Linked DNA regions of Saccharomyces cerevisiae S288C. The gene in region 1 interacts genetically with each later gene. Each region holds a gene or a part of one and is shown on either strand. Other genes may lie near its edges.

Evidence for each region. Genes that interact genetically often act in the same process or in processes that back each other up.
Region 2: mutations in HSU1 (region 1) and YNK1 together harm fitness more than expected from each alone (negative genetic interaction), as found in Saccharomyces cerevisiae (one large-scale study listed by BioGRID).
Region 3: mutations in HSU1 (region 1) and YGR210C together harm fitness more than expected from each alone (negative genetic interaction), as found in Saccharomyces cerevisiae (one large-scale study listed by BioGRID).

What each region holds. Positions count from the first base shown.
Region 1 is NC_001144.5:20,419-27,064, forward strand, and holds HSU1 (cystathionine gamma-synthase), read left to right. Parts: upstream 1-3,150; coding exon 3,151-4,878; downstream 4,879-6,646. Other genes in the region: glutathione transferase GTT2, read right to left, coding at 720-1,421; JLP1 (sulfonate dioxygenase), read right to left, coding at 5,338-6,576. UniProt on the Saccharomyces cerevisiae protein: Plays a role in inorganic sulfur assimilation during sulfur-limited conditions; catalyzes the conversion of O-acetyl-L-homoserine (OAH) into homocysteine in the methionine biosynthesis pathway.
Region 2 is NC_001143.9:313,094-317,157, forward strand, and holds YNK1 (nucleoside diphosphate kinase), read left to right. Parts: upstream 1-1,718; coding exon 1,719-2,180; downstream 2,181-4,064. Other genes in the region: DPC7 (Dpc7p), read left to right, coding at 2,861-3,082; YET1 (Yet1p), read right to left, coding at 3,344-3,964. UniProt on the Saccharomyces cerevisiae protein: Major role in the synthesis of nucleoside triphosphates other than ATP. The ATP gamma phosphate is transferred to the NDP beta phosphate via a ping-pong mechanism, using a phosphorylated active-site intermediate.
Region 3 is NC_001139.9:911,619-916,494, reverse strand, and holds YGR210C (uncharacterized protein), read left to right. Parts: upstream 1-1,756; coding exon 1,757-2,992; downstream 2,993-4,876. Other genes in the region: zinc finger-containing protein ZPR1, read right to left, coding at 1-1,254; thioredoxin TRX2, read left to right, coding at 3,268-3,582; SER2 (phosphoserine phosphatase), read right to left, coding at 3,683-4,612; CIR1 (Cir1p), read left to right, coding at 4,867-4,876.

The sequences.
Region 1 (6,646 bases):
ACGTCAATCTTCCTGTGATTATATTTTGAGTATGGCGTAGTAATCCCATATTTCTCGTTGGGTGGTGCTGATATTTGAAAATTCATGACCTGTTCTACATACGGCTGCCATTGGTAGGACCGCAATCACAGTGTAATTTTGAAGAACTTACATTGGGCCAATGGATGAGCTGTGACCATAATTTATTAGTTGTTTGTGTCACAAGCTCAGACTTAGAAGTTCTCTATTGCAAACATTATTTCATGTTTCCTTAAATTTTTTTTATTGCACCAACTTTAGTGACCCCTTGTGAGCTCCAACATATTTGAAATCTTCTTAAATTTCTAGTCGGCAAGCAGCAAAGAATTTCAGTAGTAATCTCTACCGCGGCAATATCGATGCAAATGTAACTACCTGTAAGGATATTGTCTTCAGTGGTTTGGTATGGTTTTGTACCTTACTCAACATCACGAATAAAAAGGAAGGAATACGAATCATGATATTGATGTTTAATCTTTCACCGTCAAACAATTAACATATATAGTATATATATTCTTTTATAGAATACTGCTTGAGCTATTTTTTTACTTGACAGAATGGCGCCGCGAAGAACCCCTAAATTTTGTAGCCCTAATTTCGATCAGTTATATATAGCTATGGCACCCTCTTGAATAGCTTCATGATTGGATCTTTTTATATAGTTTCCACGTACCACGCAAAACTTGTCTCAAGTAGCCACTTTACGAGGATTTTGAACGGATTTCTAGCAGTTTCTTCACGCTGGGGCGCTGTTGCATTCTCTTATACCAAGCTCGAAGCGCCTCGCACTCTTCCGGCACTTGTAGTTTTACAATTGCAGCAAATATTAGACCAGCTATTACTGTGATGTCAGCCATTGAGAATGAATCACCAGCAACATATGGGCGTTCTCTGAGAACGGTATCAAAATAATGCATTCCATGTAGGGCTTTGTCGCGCTGGCGAAGTCCCCACTCTTTGTTTTGGTAAAGCTCGACTTCAGGCCCCAATCCAGGTGTAGCATGGTGAAAATAAACACTAACAGGGTCGAGCAGTTCCAACTCTGCGCGTTTGTTCATCATGTGGATTACGCCTTTTTCCAGCGGTGTTTTGCCGGTAAGAGTGGGTGTACCATCAAGTGCATCAATGTATTCAGTAATGGCTGTGCATTCAGCGATTAAAGTCCCGTCATCAAGTTCAAGCACTGGCACTGTGCCTGAATAGTTCTTGGCAAGAAATTCAGGCTTCTTGTGCTCTCCCTTCCAGAGGTTGATCCTCACAAATTGCACACTTGATAGCATGTTCTTCTCAGCCAAGGCAATGCGGACTCGGGCCGGATAAGGCCCTGCGGGTGTGTCATATATTATCATTTTTTGTTTCATCTTTTCACCTCCATTGTAAATCAGGAAACCTCTGCCATTCATGTATCCTTTGTAGGTACTTTATATAGAGCACCAAGTTTCTATCCTTTAGCAGGAAGCACATTATTAATCATTTGAGACGTAAACGAATGAATTAGTAAGCAGTGAAAGAAATTCGAGCACTAAGCGCGACCTAAGGGAACGGACACGGAACGGAGAAACTGAAGTATCAAATACTTCCATTTGATCAAACCACTTGTATCCACTCCCTGTTTTGCACACGGTAGTAGAAGGTCTTTTGAATATTTACTGTAAATACCGATTTCTATGTCCTTCTTGTCCGATTATAGGATTCGGGTCATTTCCAGCGCCTACTTTCCTTCTTGATTTCAAAATGTGTGGTTAACGTACTCCCAATTGCACTACTGTTCCTACAGTTCACGCGCACCTCTTTCTGATGAAAATGCAGCTGCATTAATCTGCGATCTATTGGCATCTCGCTCTTGTATCTGCCCTCCATTCGTGAAATTTTACTCTATTACCATCTTTGATCATTTTTTTGTCGCAAATGTGATACGGCATCCATCGAATTTTGCTCGTAATTGTTTGCCATTATCGCCCTTTTCATTCCGTATTATTCATCCACTCCGCTTCATAATGGGTTCCAAAAAAAGAACTATTGTACGAGCTTTTAGACTCACGAAAACATTACTTGAACAATAATTAGCGCCTGCAGAACTTGACATAATAAAATTCCATTTTCGATATCTAGCTGTCTGAAGATATGATATCTAAGTAATACGGGAAAGTTTCCGCTATTATTCTCTGTTGCAAGCTCACGTGAAAATGTGGATTCGCGAGTGGGGTGTAAGTGAGGATTGCCAAGCCTTTTGTTCGAAAACTTCTGCAGGAAGCGTTGTGTTGCAAGGATGATGCAGCATGAAATATGTGTTTTCTTTTTTTCGAGGTTCACTCCTACAGGTGATTCCTTCGAGAAATTCTGCAACCCATTGTGATATGATGCCTGGCCGAAAGATTTCTTCATTTCTTCGGAGCAGGTTCGGCCCGAAATCCTCATGATCGAGCCGAATGCCAAGAAGTAAAACACCAGGATGACTAACCAGTTATTATCATGTGTATACAGTACTTTGGTACCTTTATCAAGAAGTATACTAAAATATACCAACACCACACACATGCACATGGTAGCTGAGCGAACAGTTTCGAGATTTCAGCATTAATTTCATCTAATAAGACTTTCCGTCTGCTTTCAAGATCAACGTGCTGAACATTTTTACTCTGCTTTCATAATACTCCCATTTTAGGCTTTGATTCAAAAGCCCACTCAATGCAATACCTAAAATGATATCCTTCAAAGATATGTTTAATGAATATGCAGCCACAGCTTTGAATTCAGATTGACCTTGTGTTGCATTAAGTCAGACACCTCTAGATTTGTGTGGCTGCTCTCAAGAAAGGATGTTGAAGAAGATTTATTTACGGAAGAAATAACTGTATACGGCATTTTATTCTTTCTTAAACGAGCAAATTAAAGAATAGACGGATAGAGACTGGAGCTTTAGCATGTGTTCCGAGAAGTCCTTGACACGCGCCACGGTTGTTATGCCGCACACTACAATGATGTGTTTGAAAAAGTATATTAATGCCTATTGTCAAGATGCAATTCATCAATTCCAGCATTGAGTGATTCTTCTCTGGTGCGGTAAAACATAAATTTTAAATCTAGTACTCAACCACCACTGAACAACTATTAATCATCGTGGAAATTATTATGACGGAAATTGAATTTGGGCAACCCCTTCCCAGCAATCTAGACTATGCTGTTTCTTTTGGCATTCCTACATGGGATTCGGCAATAGGCTATGCGGAAAAGGTGCCAGAGGTAATAGGCAAAATGGCTACAGGATATCCGAGGTACTTTCCTCAACCCCCCGTCCAGAGGCTTTGTGCTTACTTTGTTAAGAAATTTGGGCGAGGTTCAGAAAACTGTCGTCCTTTTCCATCCGTTAACCTGGGTTTAAAGTGTTTCGAGTACGTAAAATCTGTCTCAGGACCTGAAAGTAAAGCTCACCTTGAAGTGGAAACAGTTACGATTAAAAACCGTGGGGCAAAAACGTCGAAAGAACCGGCGGAATTGGTGCTAACCATTGCTGCTGTCCTTGCATCGGAGGAAGAGTTCGAGACTGTGAAAGAGTATTGGAAATTAAGAGGTGAATGTGTATCTAGTCGATTGGCGTTGTCTGTCAACCAACTTCTTGACTGCGCTAATCATGGCTCAGAGCAGGTATTGCGTGAGCTAGAGGCTGGTGTTTTTGCAGCAAAGAAGGGGGAGGAGAAAGCAAAGAACCTGATAAAGGGAAGGATAGTTGAGAATCGCTTCAGGCCCTTTGGTTTGGAGAAGAAAACCCCGAATTGGGAGGGACTCAACCTCAACCCAAATGAAGACGTTTATCTTGTATCAAGTGGCATGTCTGCAATATCTACGGCTCGTAATTTACTCACCTTTTGGGAGGAGAAGAAGAATTCAGGAGATTCATTAAACAAGACCACCTCTGACCAAAAGAAAAAGCCATTATTATGTGACACTGTTGGCATCTTCGGCTTCCCTTTCAAAGATACGCAGGTCATTATGACTAAATTTGGAAAATGTAAATTTTTTGGATTTGGAAATTCTAGAGACGTTGTCGAATTACAAAAGTTTTTAGAAACAAGCAAACAACGCATTCTTGCCGTTTTCGTCGAGACACCTTCAAATCCTCTGCTGAATATGCCGGATTTGAAAAAATTGAGGAGTTTGGCCGACCAGTATGGCTTTTTTATTGTAATTGATGATACTATTGGGGGCCTTAACGTTGACATCTTGCCCTATGCTGATATAGTCAGCACGTCCCTGACTAAGCTTTTCAATGGTGCTAGTAATGTAATGGGCGGCTCTGTCGTTTTAAATCCGAAATCATCTCTGTATCCATATGCTCGTGAGTACTTCAGGAGCGCTAATTTCGAGGATTTGTTATGGTGTGAAGATGCGATAGTTTTAGAACGTAATTCCAGGGATTTTGAAGATAGAACTTTACGTGCTAATGCAAACACAGGAATATTGTTGAATGATTTGCTTTTACCCGAGGAGGGGAAAATATGCAAAAAGATTTATTATCCAACTGTTACTTCTAAGGAGACCTTTGAGAACTACGAAAGTGTACGTAATGAACGTGGTGGCTATGGATGCTTGTTCTCTGTAGCCTTTTTCAATGAGGGCGATGCAAAAGCATTCTATGACTCTTTAAAGGTATTCAAGGGACCTTCTAATGGTACTAACTTTACCTTAGCATGTCCATATGTCCATCTGGCGCACCACTCAGAATTAGAAGAAGTTTCCAAGTTTGGGGCCGACCCCAACATTATTAGAGTAAGCGTAGGTTTAGAAGATATCCAGTGGTTATTGAAAGTTTTTTCAAGTGCTTTAGATGTTGTGAAAAGCAGAGGCTCCAAACACTCATGAAGCAGATCATGAGTAGAATATCAAAAATCAAGAATTCTTTATAATCTTTATAGAATATTGTTTATAAAAGTTTTTTTCCATTCTAGCATATAATTTTTTTGGAGGAAGTCTTTTCTGGAACCTTCACATGGATCTTAATTAATGAAAGTAGACAGAGCTCATAAGATCACTAGTTGTTTATAAACTGAAGATGTTCCTTCTTATTGACTTCAACATTATATCGCTCTGAATTAGTTGATCTGTAACTTCAGAGTTTCTTTACCAGAATAAAAGCGTCACAGTTTTTCTTTAGTTTATATGTACACAGGTTGGGGTTTACTATAAACTATAAAAAAGAAGTGTTGTCGCCGCTATTTTAAGGTTTATACACAATTTTAACCAAAAAAAAGAATAAGTTGAGCAACGTTGGAACTGCCTCTGCAACGAATTCCGGCTATATACAACCTGCATCTTTGAAATTCAAATATCCAAAGTTAATGAAGAAGGATAATAATTTTCATCATTCAAAAACTTTAGATCTTCCACGGGCCTTTCCGCTTGTGGAGTAATCCTGAACGCATGTCTGTGAATTGGTTCTTCCCAATCAATCACTGCTGAATGTTGAACTCTGCGGTTATCCCAAATGACGACGGAATGAGGTTCCCATTTGGCTCTTAACTGTAAATCATGGCTGCTCTCCACTAGATTGTACAAGAAATTCAAAAGTGATTCAGATTCTTGTCTTTTCAATTCGACTATTTTCCTAGAAAATGCACGATTGACATACAAGCATTTCTTTTTCAAGACAGGATGAACTCTGACCAGTGGATGAATATGCGTGACAGGTGCTCTTCTTTTTATGCCGCCCTGGCGCTGTGAATTCTCTGCCTGTTCCTTTGAGCTATGGATGACATGAAGCGTGCTCAAGAAATCTTGCAAAGGCTTCGACAACCTGTCGAAAGCCTCGATCGTATCCGCAAATAACGTATCTCCACCACCATCAGGACCTTCAACAACACTAAAGAAAGTATAAGAAGGTGGCTGTAACTCGTAAGAGACGTCTGTGTGCCAGCCACCAGATGATGTCGAGTCATCAAAAACTCTTGCAAATTCTTCCGCATCAGGTCTTCGGAAAGTGATATGCAGCTCAGGATTGTTTTGAGGGTGGCCACTAGTTTGATGAATGTGCAACTTGCCAAAATGTCTTCCGTATTCAGTCACATAATCGGGTCCCTCGTCAGCAAAATTCTGATTTCTAAAGACAACTACTCCCTTTTGGGCGACAAGCAAAGCGAGTTCATCTTTTGCAGCATCAGAAAGATCAGTTAGCTGGATCCCATTGATCTCGAGACCTAATTTCGGGGTGATCTTCTTCACCTTTAGTTGACCAACGTTTTCTTTTGCAAAAAGGTTTGAAAAGTTACCGTCAGCTCTCAAAGCAGGATCATGGTATTCGTGAAATTCCAGCGGGCCATACTTTTCAGTAGGATCCCATGTAGGCAAATAATCTGGATACTTCGATTTCTCTCTATAAGATTTACGGATTTTCAATAAACCAGATGGAGAGACCTCATCTTGGCCATCATAAAAATGGGTATCAAAATTCCCGTAACCTTGCTTGGAGGTATAATTCAGGTTTTTCAACCCATTTGTAATGATTTTGACTGGTAAATCGGTAGATGGAAGAGGGATTGCTGTTTGAGCTGCTGCAGGAGACATATTTTAACTGGGTTACTGTGCTATGTTTGTACAAGTATGAAAGGGCCGATTATACAGCAATAGTACACCT
Region 2 (4,064 bases), on another chromosome or scaffold:
GTAGAGAATCCTTGTATCGTCTAAGTAGTCTAGATGTTCAGCTGATAGATTTTCGTTGTATTGTATATATAATAATTGTCGGAAAACAAAAATACTTAATTGTAATTGTGTGACCGAAAATGCCTGATCAACAGCCATGGCACATTTGAATGGGATTTTGAGGAGACAAAAATGAAGAGGTTCTATAACCTTTGTAGAAGAACATTGACCTCTTTTCAATGAAGGTTGGTGGCATCGCCAGATGCAGAAAGGTTGTCTCATGAAATAAAAACGGACAGACCATGAAGGCTAAAGGAAAAAAATAAAATGCCATCTCCTAGAATCGAACCAGGGTTTCATCGGCCACAACGATGTGTACTAACCACTATACTAAGATGGCAAACAACTGTGAAGTTTTTGGTTACATCTGCACATCTGGTTGAATAAATATTATGTACTCTTTGCTTTTTTATGTTAAACCTACAAGTGGTGACTGTAAAGAAGCATTACAACGTAGAACTGATAAAGGGGAGAAATATGTGAGTTGTTAGATAATTGTTGGGATTCCATTGCTGCTAAAGGCTATAATATTGGTATACAGAATATACTAGAAGTTCTCCTCGAGGATATAGGAATCCACAAAAGGGAATCGATAGTTCTACATAATGTTATTATTTTATCTTCCTTCCTTTTATATGTTGTCATTCATTATCCTATTACATTATCAATCCTTGCATTTCAGCTTCCATTAGATCGGATGACTGTTTCTCAATCTTTATGTCATCTTCTCACACCGCATGTGATAATATAATATTAAATAGATGATATTAGAGTTCAATTCCAACAAAAGGGGAGTAGTTACATAAGCTTTCCGTAATGGTGAATTTATAGCAGTTTCCTTCTCGATGAAAGGAAGGGAAAGAATTAAATATACTCGAATGCTTGTACCACTCCATTTCCCCATTTATCACATTTAAAGTTACGAGTAAAAAAGTGACCGATATAGAATGTCTGATGAAAGAGCAAATGAAAGAAACATCAAGAAAGCATATTGAAATTAGCAAGTGAAAGCAAAAAAAGTAGATGAGTAAGCATTATAATGCGTCCAGTCTGACTTTTTTGTTGGAATAAAAATCAACTATCATCTACTAACTAGTATTTACGTTGCTAGTATATTATCATATACGGTGTTAGAAGCTGGCGCAAATGATGAGAAATAGTCATCTAAATTAGTGGAAGCTGAAACGCAAGGATTGATAATGTAATAGGATCAATGAATGTTAACATATAAAACGATGATAATAATATTTATAGAATTGTGTAGAATTACAGATTCCCTTTTATGGATTCCTAAATCCTTGAGGAGAACTTCTAGTATATCTACATACCTAATATTATAGCCTTAATCACAATGGAATCCCAACAATTACATCAGAATCCACTGAGTCTTCATTTTTTCCTATTTTTTGAATTAATTTTTGTTCGTATCCATTGGGCTGGCGAGCAAGTCCATCAAATAAAAAGGCGCGTAATTCGCTTCGTTTCGTGTCTTCGAAAATGAAGACCAGTTTTCCTCCTTAAAAGTACTTTAATTCGGAGAGCCGATTATATAAAGTGAAAGACTTAGTACTTCGTTAGCTCATATCGTTTTCTTATTTTGAAATAGGTTATCTATAGAATACTTTATCAAGTTATCAGGTTCTTTCCGGAAAAACATCTCATAAATCATCCCTGGAAAAATGTCTAGTCAAACAGAAAGAACTTTTATTGCGGTAAAACCAGATGGTGTCCAGAGGGGCTTAGTATCTCAAATTCTATCTCGTTTTGAAAAAAAAGGTTACAAACTAGTTGCTATTAAATTAGTTAAAGCGGATGATAAATTACTAGAGCAACATTACGCAGAGCATGTTGGTAAACCATTTTTCCCAAAGATGGTATCCTTTATGAAGTCTGGTCCCATTTTGGCCACGGTCTGGGAGGGAAAAGATGTGGTTAGACAAGGAAGAACTATTCTTGGTGCTACTAATCCTTTGGGCAGTGCACCAGGTACCATTAGAGGTGATTTCGGTATTGACCTAGGCAGAAACGTCTGTCACGGCAGTGATTCTGTTGATAGCGCTGAACGTGAAATCAATTTGTGGTTTAAGAAGGAAGAGTTAGTTGATTGGGAATCTAATCAAGCTAAGTGGATTTATGAATGAATAACTTATGGCATGGGAGGGTACATATGAGCGCCTTTTTTTTCTCGCTTTGGGCAGCTCATATCATGTTCCCTCACTAGCTAATAATATAATGAATTTTTTAGAAGGAGCACGATTATATAAAAAAAATACCACTTATGTTGCTACCCTTATATACGAATTTATAATACTTAATGACGCTTCAATGACGCCTGATGTCAAATGCTTTTGGCTCCCAGTGAAATTGCCACACTTCCTTCTTCTTTCCGAACTTTATAGTATCATCGAAAAATACAAGTTGGCAAAGGTCTATTACAATCGCGGAACGTACGATGTTCATACGGTTTCAGCGAATAGTCTTGTAATATCCGGAAGCATGCCTACCGGCATTATTATAGGTAGTTCATCGCCCTTGGACTATGTAGGGGTACAAGTAAATAGGCAACTTGAAATGGATCTCCCTATTGAATGAAACATTTAAGGGTGCCCAACCCTTAAGTTGATAGAGCTACTACCGTTCTTTTAGGTTTAACAGTTTCTCCAATAAATTTGGCAATATGCAGGGATCCCAAATTGAAATTTCTGGCGGAATGTATATATTAGACTTGCAGCTGAGTTTTATCGCGTACACTATTCTAGGGACTTTGGACCTAACTCTGACAACAAAAACTCAAGTAAAAAAAAGCTTACATTTTTAAATGATGAGATCTAATATTTTGAAATTATTACAACGGACAAGTAGGAGATATGTATCCTCAAAGGATTTTGAGCCTGTGATAGGGTCTAATCCTAAGAAACAAACATCTAGACTAATGGTCGGTTCTGTGGGTGTTATGATTCCAGTTCTACTTTATTTGTTTTATAAGAACGATAGCAAACATAGTGAAATTAAAAAGATATACCAAAATGAGAAAAAAATTTAAAAAGTTGTTATATAAGGGTTTTCGTATATAACACAGAATGGTAAACCGAGTCACGAAGCTCAATCTTTTTTTTTTATGTCTTTCTCTAACGTTTTTTCGTCTATATTCAAAAAAAATAAAGTTGGTAACATATAATGCATATATTCATTTGATCTAATCGCTTGCTTTTTATTTCAGTAGCATTTTCGTATTGCGTCGCGACCAGAGAAGTATGAGCACCAGAGGTAACACGTATATACATTTATACATAAATATATCTATTTAGTTTCCTTTCTTGGAAGCTTCAGCAGCTGCTACATTTCCAGGTTGATTCTTCTCATCAAAATATTTCTCCAGGTTTTTGACTTGCTTTTGTAGGCCCTCCAGAGAAATTTGCTTTTTCCTTAGTTCCTCTTGAAGTTTGGTGGAATCAGCTTCATTTGAGTCTTTCTTGCTGTTTGAGGAAGGTTTGTTCAATTTTTGCTTTTCTTGTTCGTTGATTAAGCCTTGGTATTTCACCAGTCTCTTGACAATAGACATGACAGTTGGGATACAGATAGAAAAGTACAATATGAACCCGGAAATATACATATTTCTTTGATTGTACGCTCTTGATGCTAGTGCCTGTATTGGAGTTACAGCAGATGACCCGATTGAGCCACTGTTGTCGTTGTGGTATAATGAAACACGAATTTGAGACCTTTTCCATGAATCAATAAACAACAGGCCAACAAGACAACCCGTTATAAAGATTATAGTTTTTATTTGCTGCTTCGCTGTCAATTGGTTATAGGTGCTAAAAATACCCCTACGGATCCGGAATGGCAAAGGCAAAACGAAGATGAAGAGCATTACCATCTCAACAGTGAGCAATAAAAATAATGTCGTAAAGTATAAACTCATCGCAATATTATTTATTCTTCTCGGTTTTCAGTACTTGCCACTTTGCGAAAGGATAGCAGAAAGGAGCGTTGCAATGAACGAATAGCTTTAAACCAGAAAC
Region 3 (4,876 bases), on another chromosome or scaffold:
TTTCGTTGCTTCGTCCATGGAATCCGAAGTTTGAGTGAAAATACGGGATTCTAGTTCTTCGTAGACTTGTCTTAGTAAACCTTCCAAAGTGGTGAATCTACCACCCAATGTACCTTCTTGAATATCAAGATGTAATTCAGGAATTACCATACTACAGGTCTCAGATTTCAAAATATCACGGGACAAGTCAGCTGCATCGTCACAGTATAAAGTAATCCTTCTTCCTTTGTCAGGGATGGCACCACCGGTCTTCACCTCATTAGACTTATAACCACAATGATCGCAGACCGTCGACATGATAATGACTTCTTTAAAGTGTGGGATATTTACTGGCTTCATATGAGTTTCACACTCTTGGGTACACGATGGACAAGAAGCTCTGAATGTTTGCACCTCGTTGTTAAAGTTTTCGATGTCGGTGGCGTCTGACAAAAACTGTGGGTTTGCTGAGCCAACTTTGACAGATTCAGAAGGATTTCTTTCACGGTTGGCCAATTGTTTTAATTGTTCTTGGCGACGTTGCTCCAACTGGTCTCTAGTAATAATGCCAACTTGAACGTTTTGTTCGTCGGTTCTCACGTACTGGGTATGAGACCATTTGTGTTGAGGTTCACCGGGTTTGTATTCGATCCAGGAATTTCCCGCAGGATCATCCAAAATAAATGTAATCGGAATAGTGTTGGGTTCACAATTGATGTAGGATTTAACTTTCTGTATGAAGTCATCGATCTTCTTGTAAAGAGCTTCGTCTATAGATTTTCTCATTTCCTGGTCTTGCGACAGATCGTCGATCATCTCGGATAACAAACCTTCAACTGTCGTCAATTGACCTCTCTTAGCAGGAATCTCAATGTCTAGCTCGACAAACTTACAAGTGGCAGTTTCTGACTTAATAACTTGCCTGTTAAAATCTTCACGGCACTCCACTTTCAAAACGTAACGAGAGCCCTTCTCTTGAATTTGAGAAGCGGGTTGGATCTCACAGTTCTTAAACCCACAGTGAGGACAGTCGAATGACATAATAATTATTTCTCTGAAATAAGGGATGGAAGTCAGAAGAAGTCTGGTTGTACCGTTCTTTCCACAATTCATACAAAGAGACTCTATCTCTTGCACTGGATGGCCCATGGCGTCCTGTGCGCCGGTTAACTTGACGCCGTCATTAGCTTTGTTCTGTTCGGCTATGCTTTCATCTTCGACCTCTGCAGCAGCTTCTCCTACTGGTTTAAACAAATCTTCCTTTTGTTCGCTCATTATTTTCTATCCTATTTCTTAACGGTATAGGTATAATATGTATCTCTGTGTATATATGCGACTAGCTATTGCTAACGATGCGAACCTACCCGATAACGCTATGATTTCCTTTGCGTTGAACATCATAGCATTATAAATGTGCATCTCATCGCTGAAAAATTTTCGTCAACTATAAACTTTTAGGATATTCTAGCCCTGATGGGGCTAGAATATTCTAGAAAACTCCAGAGGGTTTCGGCACAATTTATTGTAGGGTTAGTAAGGGCTTTTTTATCAAGGTGAAAAATTCACTCGATGCCTTTTTTTTTTTTTCTCGAATAGATAGATATGCAAGAAATGTAATGCTATGCAGTGCAAAACAGATGTGTAAGTGTTCTAGGATGAATTGTAATGAGAGTTGGTTTTATTTTCATTTTGCGTTTTCGTTTTCCGTCTTTTAGCTTTTGTCCAACTAACTTGTAGTATAAGCTGTCTGTAAGAATAAAACGGAAATAGAGCCAGTATGCCCAGGGATCCATTGATTGGTATTGTGGGTAAGCCATCTTCAGGGAAATCCACCACATTAAATTCTTTGACGGACGCAGGTGCGGCGGTAGGAGCATTTCCCTTTACCACGATCGAGCCAAATCAGGCAACCGGCTACTTGCAAGTTGAGTGTGCTTGCTCCAGATTTGGCAAGGAAGATCTTTGTAAACCTAACTACGGGTGGTGTAGCAAGGGTAAGAGGCATATCCCCATCAAACTGTTGGATGTGGCAGGGCTTGTGCCTGGAGCGCATTCCGGCAGAGGGCTTGGAAATAAATTCTTGGATGATTTAAGACACGCAGATGCTCTTATTCATGTGGTGGACGTTAGTGGAACCACAGATGCAGAGGGGAAGAACACAAGAGGATATGATCCATTGAACGATATAGAATGGCTGCAAGACGAAATCAGGCTTTGGGTTGAGGGGAACCTGAAGAAAAGATGGGGGTCTATTGTGCGTAAACATACAGCAACGAAATCTAGCATAGTGGACACACTTCAAGCGCAATTCGGTGGGTACGGTTCACATGCGCCCATGATCCAAAAAGCCCTGGACAGGTTGAAGGGACTACCACCTTTGGAAAAATGGGATGACGAATGGATCACTCGAGTGGTCAAGTCCTTTATGATGGAGAAATTTCCAACTGTGTTGGCACTCAACAAGATTGACCACCCTGACGCCGATAAAAATGTTTCTAAAATCATGCTAAAGTATCCTGACACCAAAGCTGTACTGACCAGTGCAGTGACGGAAGTTTTTTTGAGGAAATTGAAAAAGCAAGGTTTTATATTATACGAGGAGGGCACGGAATTTGTTGACACATTTGAGGACGAGCCAGACAAACTAAAGCCACTGGACGACAAGATCCTTAACAGAATTGAAAATATCAGAGATTTGGTCCTGTATAGATTCGGATCTACGGGTGTTGTTCAGGTTCTGCAAGCAGCAACGGACATCCTTGGTCTAATACCGGTGTACACTGTGAAGAACATCCAGACTTTTACGGGTGGCAACGGAACCAACGTATTTAGAGATTGTTTTTTGGTCAAGCGAGGAACCCCTGTTGGCAAAGTTGCCAGGTATATCATGGGTGGCGAGGTCACCATTGCAAGCATTGAAACCGTTGGCGGCGTGAGAGTCAGTGAAGAAAGTCTTGTTGAGCCCGGTAAGAATGACATACTCGGCTTCAAGATCGCTCCAAGATCAGCATAACTTGAGTGCCAGTGAATATTAAGTAATCATCAAAGTATATGTGTAATTGTTTATACTCTTAGTAAAGGATGCTCCCTACAAGGTGGCTCTTTTCTTACTAAGCGCGTTCAGTTTCCAGCCAGCCGAAAGAGGGATATCAGTATATAAGAAAGCCATTCGGGGGATGAAAAGCTGACAAGAGAATAACGAGGACCAGTTTTTATTTGTTGTCTAGCAAGAATTATACACGCACACATACACGAGAGTCTACGATATCTTTAAATAACACATCAATAATGGTCACTCAATTAAAATCCGCTTCTGAATACGACAGTGCTTTAGCATCTGGCGACAAGTTAGTCGTTGTTGACTTTTTTGCCACATGGTGTGGGCCATGTAAAATGATTGCACCAATGATTGAAAAGTTTGCAGAACAATATTCTGACGCTGCTTTTTACAAGTTGGATGTTGATGAAGTCTCAGATGTTGCTCAAAAAGCTGAAGTTTCTTCCATGCCTACCCTAATCTTCTACAAGGGCGGTAAGGAGGTTACCAGAGTCGTCGGTGCCAACCCAGCTGCTATCAAGCAAGCTATTGCTTCCAACGTATAGTTGCCGGTATATTAACGCTACGTAAAGTACATCATGTTTACCAGTTTAAATAAACAATTTTAAAAAGAAACTCTATTACATCTATCTATCATTATTTTCTTCATTGTCTATTGTATATTTCATCATCGGTGTAACCAAGAATGTATAAAATGTCAGTCATGCTCTTGGTATTCAACTTACAAGGTGCAGCTTTCTGCACCTTTGGCTTGGCGTTCCATGCGATCCCAAACCCGGCGGTAGCCATGGCTGGCAGGTCGTTACCACCGTCACCCACCATACAACTTGCTTCAACTGGAACATTGTAGTCATTACATAGTTGCAGAAGGGTTTCACTCTTGCACTGTCCGTCTACGATAGGACCCAGTGTTTTACCGGTTAATTTTCCATCAGTGTCAACTTCCAACAAGTTTGCCTTACAAAAATCTAAACCTAACTGATCCTTGATAAAACCGGCAAACTGAATAAAACCACCGCTTAAAACAGCGAGCTTGCAATTTTTTTTGTGAAGGAACTTGCATAGTTCTGGCACACCCTTGGTGACCTCTAGCTTTTGTTTTATTTCATCATATAGTGTATCGACTTGGAGGCCTTGCAATAATTTAACGCGTTCTCTTAAAGACTCTTTGAAATCAAGTTCATTGTTCATGGCTCTTTCTGTGATCTCGTGCACTTGTTCTTCAACACCAGCATAAGCGGCAATCAATTCGATGACCTCTTGGTAGATTAATGTTGAATCCATGTCAAAGACAAAGAGCTTTTTGGCTTGACGATATTCATTGTCGACAGAAACAATAACATCAACATCATTATGACTGTCAATGACGTTCGTCAGCTTATTCTTGAGGTCTTTTTGAACAATCGATCCTGCGACTTCAATGAATATATCGGTAGCTCTGGCCGATAGTTTCTTGGTACCATTGATTGATACATCTTTCGCCGAGCTTTCAGTAATTTCTTTCGCAATCTGGTCGATGGTTTCTTTTGGGAGATTTTCTCCATGAGCTATGCAGGTGATAACAAACTTTGACATTTTTTACAGCTGTCGTGCTTAATGTCTATGCTATTGGACTTGCTTGGATATGTCTATTTGTTTTTTTTTTACATAGTTTCATAGTTTCTATTTTTTATTTATCATTTTTTTTTATTTTTCACTTGAAGATCTTTCGAGATTATTAGTATTGACTCTTTCTTTCTCGGTGTAAAATAATCCTGATTCGAGAAACGTTGTCAAGACACACTAGGATCAATAACCCCGATAATCAAGTATCAGAAAGAGTAATAAAAATGTCTGCAA